Linked DNA regions of Oryzias latipes. The protein of the gene in region 1 interacts with the protein of each later gene in a pairwise test. Links are inferred from orthologs where the notes say so. Each region holds a gene or a part of one and is shown on either strand. Other genes may lie near its edges.

Region 1 (3,831 bases):
TTTCACTGCAGCAGTTTCATTTAAATAAAAGTCAACATACCTTAAATTATACTCTTGACATCTACATAGGAGGCAGACATCTAACATGAAAGCTCTCCATTCGATTGGTCAATGACCTAAAGGGGTCCATACAATTGGTCAAATGCGTAAAAGGCTTTATTTGATTAAATACTTTATACATTGAAGGTAATTTATTGCAGTTTGCGCCATCTTTTGTGATACACATATCACACAAGCTTATATCACGACAACAATAAGTTTGTGATTTTCTTATTTTTATTATACAGGCTTATTTCTTACCAACATTAGCAATGCTCTTTTGATGACGCATCTCATGTCATTTGCAGAGGCACACGACAGATTTCTTAAGCTTTGTTAGCCTTTTCATTTTTTTGTGATCTGTGAATCCCCTTTAGATACAACTGTCTTTGACACATACCTTTGCACATAACTGAGCTGGGGAGAAGAGTGCAGCGCTCCAACTCTAGATGACGAAATGAAAGTAGATTCTTGACTGGTGCTGGAAGGGAATTCAACCCTTGTGTGTTGCCAAAGCAGTTCGGGGAATTTTTATTAATGCACACAGGCTTCCTGGGCTGAACACCTCCAAAGATCACAGCCAATCAGGGTAGGTGTGATGCTTTTGGATAATGAGGCTTACTTGCCAGAAGCTAATAAAATGCATCGGCATAGCTTACGGTTATCTTGTTGGTATTAAGATGATATAAACAATACCCCATTTTCAGTGTATGCAAGTGTTGGACTTAATTAAGTTGAGTTTCATCTGAAAGAAAGGAACTGGACGCCAAATCCTTGTTGTCCGTCAACCACAGGTCCACTGAGGCTTTTCTATAAACACGGTTGGATTGTGAAGTAATTGAGAAATCTGATGAGAGAAGACTGAGTGGATGACAGAGAGAACAAATTATTATTTTTCAAACAATGGCTCGCAGAAAACAAAGTCAGCATGAGTGTTTTTAAACAATAACTCGCATCTTTAGGAATTTTGACGTGGTAACGGTCCTATAATTTCCCAGCATGCCCATATAGCTCTGCAATAAAACCTTCAAATGTGGCACTTAATCTGTAGATAATTCATATCACTAGTCAGTCATTTATTTTTCCATTACTTGGGGGAGGAGGGAGGCTCTGTGATTCCATTTTGGATCTGTCTTATCCTTTTGAGGTTTTGATGGATAATTGTGGCTTCTTTAGGCTTGCTTCAATTATCTTAGTGCTTAATTTTAAACCGTCTTGGATCTCACTGGGGGTGTGAAGAAGCACTGTATTTAAGCCTGATTTTTTAGATAAAACACAATAGTCCTTCCCCCCTAATAATGGGGAGATTATAAAACTTTGAACTTTAGTTTCCAGTCTTAAAATTGCTATAATTCATAAAGTGTATGTAATTAACATGACTGAATGCCTTAGGTCTGTGCACTGTTTTACAGAACCCAAGAAGTTTCATGCTGAGACATATTCTCCTGGTTTAGTGGGGGTTATTTAACTTGCTTGGAGTATTATAGAAAGTTTTTGCTAAATAGAGTTAATCCAGGAAATGAAAAGTTGTGCTGACACAAATTCTGACAAAAATCCGAAATGGTCTTAAAGGCTTTGTAAGAACAAGCTAGAGGAGAGGTGAAAGAGCTTGTTGCACATTTTTAAGGGTTCTTGCAGAATCATCTGCACCCGCACTGCTGCAGATCCCACAGTGGCTCTTTTAGTCATGAATCTGTCTTGTTGCTGCCAATGTTTGAATGAAAGTTAAGTACAATGTAAGCCTTCTGCTAATGTTCCTGTCTCTGTTTGTCCTAGAAGCTCTACAGCGACCCGAGTTTGGTCTAGGAGATGCAGCCCGTTGGAACTCCAAAGAGAATCTGTTGGCAGGTCCCAGTGTGAATGACCCCAACCTGTTTGTTGCACTCTATGATTTCGTTGCCAGTGGAGATAACACACTAAGCATTACGAAAGGTAAGGAAAAACGCTTTCAGTTTAGTGTCTTTTGGCTTTGCCAACATTTAAAAGCAAAAAAAAAAAAAAAAAGTAGAAAGAAGTTTGGGAGATATGAATATGGGGATAACAGACAAGTAGGTTTATCATTCAGATAGGAAATGCTGTCCATTTCCCAGTTTTTAGATAGAACAGCTCTTCTAGGAAGACGTGACTCACACTAGATTGAATAGGATTCTTTTTCTGCTTCTTTGTTCTGGAAGTGAAATGGAGATAACACATGTCTGTAAAGTTGTCACTGCTAATGGGAATCTCCTTATTTGCATCCTCTGTGCTCCCCCTTCTGTCCTCAGTCCCATCAGACTCTCACTTCCTGACCATGCTCTCACACATGGGGCTTTTCCCACTGAGCACACTGTTGAACAATACTGCAGATGGATGACACAGACAAATGAAGGAAGGAGGGAACCTAGACTCCGGAATAAACAGGAATATGTCTGGAAAAACAAGACTTTCCATAGAAATGTAATACACCTCCGGGTTTTTTTGGGGGTTCATCTGTTGCGCCTTATGGTTTAACAGTTTTTATTTCACAAAAATGAAATGACCTTTAGTGGTTTTATCATTGAGATCTTTTCAATCCAAACTAGTCAGTTAGAGATTAACTTCATGGGTTTGGGTCAACAACATAACGTGGAATATAAGCCCTTGAATTCCAGATGAAAGTTTTATTAAAACGCCTGTTCTCAACCCCAGAGAACATGGACTATAATTGCACTCTGTTGCTCTCTCGGTTAGGAGAGAAGTTGCGTGTGCTGGGTTACAACCACAATGGCGAGTGGTGCGAGGCACAGACCAAGAACGGCCAAGGTTGGGTCCCATCCAACTACATCACCCCAGTTAACAGCCTGGAGAAGCACAGCTGGTATCATGGACCCGTGTCGCGCAACGCTGCCGAGTACCTCCTCAGCTCAGGCATCAACGGAAGCTTCCTGGTGCGAGAGAGCGAAAGCAGTCCCGGACAGAGGTCCATTTCTCTACGTTATGAGGGGAGAGTCTACCATTACAGGATTAACACTGCATCTGACGGCAAGGTAAAGACTGTATTTTGTTCCTGCGATGATGAGCCATCAAACTAATGTTCATCTTGTGTATCCTTTTCTCTTTTTGCATAAGGGCACTTTTATGATGAAAATGATTAATAGTTTCAAATTGTTCTTTCTCAGATCTGCCAAATAATAGTTCAAAAGCTAGAGGAGAAGCTTTGATTTTATTCGAAATCTGGAAATGGGGGGGGGGGGGTCTGTATCTGAGACAGAAATATTAGAAATCAGTCAAAACCTTTGTGAGAGAAATTTAGGTGAATTTAAAGCTTTGTTAAAGGTTTGTTCCGTCAATTTTTTAAATCTTCAGTGCGGATTGGATGTACCAAAAAGACTTCAAACAAGACCCGACTATTACTAAAACAGGTGAAAACAAAAGACTTGAGAGGGTTTTGGATAAAGGGTGAAATATTTAGTGTTGCCTCCGTTGCCCACCTCCCCATGATGCAGTGAGGTGAGCTCCAGCTTTGACAAGAATGCCACTGGGCTTCTTGTGAAGAGCTGCAGACCCAAACACTGACTGTAATGCTAAGATATGTTTTAGCACCGACAGTTAAAAACAAACAAGCAGGCACTAAACACATGCAAACACAACAAACTTCCTCCTGTTGGATTGTTTCCCATTCTTTCACAGCAGTTCTGCGTTTTGTTCGCCCCTACTTTTTTAGAAGTAATTTATTGAATGGTTATAAAATAGACAAATGAAGTTTAAATTTCCCTTTTTCCCTAGTTAACAAGTACCAATACTCTTTCTTCCACTCTTCTTCTTATCTTCCAC
Region 2 (2,543 bases), on another chromosome or scaffold:
AAGGAAGTCTCCACCTTTTTGTAGAAGCTCTGTGTGACCTTTGTATGCTTGTCGAGCTGACCCAGGCGCCACTCTGTGCTCCTGCCAGAGAAAAGGAGGATGGCGGGACTGTCCGACTTCCTGACGGACGTTGCTCGAAGAGAACTTGAACATCTGGATCCTCGCGTTCCATCGTGTTGTGTCATTTACATCCCTTTGGTCAGATCACTACCTTTCTAGAAAAAAAAAAACACTTTTTTGTTTTCAGGCATTGGAATTATAATTCTGATTGTGAAAGCTGTTTTTTTTCTGGATCAGAGTATATTTATCGTTACAGATTGGATTTCTGCTCTCTTTGCCACGGCTGCCAAGCATGGTGGAGAAGGAGGACTTTGAGATGGAGGGTCTTGAATTTATGGTGCGTTTGTAGTCCTGGGGTTTGTATTTTGTGTTCTTTTCTTTGAAAACCAGAGAATATTGATCTAAAGTCTCATCTGTTAGTTTCTGTCGGAGGATCGATTGCACTACCGCAGCCAGAGAACCAGGGAGCTCGACGAGCTTCTTGGAGACATGCACTGTGACATCAGAGGTAGTTTTATTTTTTATTTTTACAGTAATGACAAATCAGCGTAGCTCTTTGCACATATTTATGATGTTTTGTTTGTTTGGGTCTCAAAGATATGGAAACCGCAGTGATGACCCAGTTGCAGAATGCAATCCTAGAGAGGAGTCCTTCTCTTTATCAGGTGGGTTGATGGCTCTCTGTGTGGTCATGTTAAGTTGTGATTCATGACAAACAGACATGATCTTGACCCAGATTCTATTTCACCTTTTGACAATTTCCATGATTGCAGATGTTATGTAAAAGGGAAGTGTGAGTGAAGGTCAGCTGGTGGATACTACTGTACAAACCTGTTTTTGTATTTGACACACCAATTGAATTCTTTAAGATGTTTCCATTTGTGTAGAGGAATAAAGGGTTCACACATTACCTTCATTTTTCTTTTCAATGTTATTACAGCAAAAGCAGCAATATTTTCATTTTTTATTTGCTTCACATGTATTTCCCTTCATTTTACCGTAAATTACATATTCAGCTGTGATTTCCATCTTTGATCTGATCCGAATGAGGGTTTTTAAGTAGGCAAGCAGTTGGGTTATGCATTTTTAACCACAGTGGTGCCTCAGGTAATGCAGGAATTTACTGTATGTACACAATGTGCAGGTTCTGGATCTTATTGCTGAGCTGGACTGCCTGATGGCTATGAGCAGTGCCTCCCAGGAGTACAGTTACACTTCCCCCAAGCTGGCCAGCCACAAAAAAATAACAATCACACAGGGCAGGTACGGCTAGGCACACAAACATTGGGTATAAATAATTAAGATGCAGTGAAACTTCCCCATAATCCTAACCTTTATTTTTCTCTTTTTCTGTCTGCAGACATCCACTGCTGGAGCTCTGCTCTCCTGTCTTTGTGGCAAATTCCTTCCAGAGCTTTGATAAAGAGGGAAGAGTTAAGATCATCACCGGTCCCAATTCTTCAGGCAAAAGTATCTACCTTAAGCAGGTGGGACACCATCCTTTTTTTTACTGTATGATACTGTGTATATGCCATAACCAGCTTCCTAAAAACTGATCTATGCTGACATTTTGGGTGGTCCTGGATCTTTTTTTGTCTTCTGCATGTCTTCTGTGCATAATCAGCCTTTATAGTGTGTTTTCAATTGATTCACTATTTGCTCCATTGAGTTAAATCTTATTTTAAATGTTCAATAGCTGCAGGGTTGTTGGTTAGCGACGCATGTTGTTTTTGCTTTTGTAAGGTGGGTCTGATCGTTTTCATGGCTCTGATCGGCTCGGATGTACCGGCGAAGGAAGCAGAAATCGGTTTGGTGGACGGCATCTACACGCGCATGCAGAGCAGAGAGTCTGTGTCTGTGGGCCTCAGCACCTTCATGATCGACCTCAACCAGGTTCCTCACAGACGTCGCCTCGCCTTTTTACTCAAACGTGTCATTTGTGTTTGCTGCACAGAAAGAAATACAAACAGCTTCCATCTCTGTTCCCACTCTCCAACTGTTAAGAGGTTCTATGAAGTGCTGGTTGTTCTTCTCACTGCCGTCGTGCAAACAATAAAAGAACAAAGTGGTGAACCACAGTCTGTCTCTCCTCTCCAGATGGCCCAGGCTCTGAACAGCAGTACTGGCAACTCATTATTACTCATTGATGAATTTGGAAAAGGGACGAACTCGGTAAGAAGAAACATTTCAAGTTGTCATGGGATTTAGACGCCTGTTTATGAGCCTTACAAAGAGACAAAATGCCCTTTATTTGAAACAAACACTCAGATCAACCAGAAATTAGTCAACCAATGAAAGAAAAAGCAATACCAGCTGTTGACTCCTGCAGATACGCAGATGTGTCTTTTCTTAACGCTGCAGTGAGTAGAGCCATATCTGAATTCCCTCACTACTCCCTAAACACCTAAAAGACTACAGTGCGTAGTATATAGTATTGTCTAATGCCCTGGATGTTGATGCAATTCGGATGCTCTCTACTTTTT

The links.
Region 2: the proteins of abl1 (region 1) and msh5 interact in binary tests that used the Homo sapiens proteins (3 or more experiments, as listed by UniProt). The link is inferred for Oryzias latipes from reciprocal best matches to the Homo sapiens genes ABL1 and MSH5.

The regions. Positions count from the first base shown.
Region 1 is NC_019870.2:12,806,754-12,810,584, reverse strand, and holds part of abl1 (tyrosine-protein kinase ABL1), read left to right. Parts: intron 1-1,815; coding exon 1,816-1,971; intron 1,972-2,748; coding exon 2,749-3,044; intron 3,045-3,831. UniProt on the Homo sapiens protein: Non-receptor tyrosine-protein kinase that plays a role in many key processes linked to cell growth and survival such as cytoskeleton remodeling in response to extracellular stimuli, cell motility and adhesion, receptor endocytosis, autophagy, DNA damage response and apoptosis.
Region 2 is NC_019874.2:17,863,418-17,865,960, reverse strand, and holds part of msh5 (mutS protein homolog 5), read left to right. Parts: intron 1-88; coding exon 89-198; intron 199-316; coding exon 317-397; intron 398-480; coding exon 481-568; intron 569-657; coding exon 658-725; intron 726-1,204; coding exon 1,205-1,323; intron 1,324-1,420; coding exon 1,421-1,547; intron 1,548-1,803; coding exon 1,804-1,953; intron 1,954-2,157; coding exon 2,158-2,232; intron 2,233-2,543.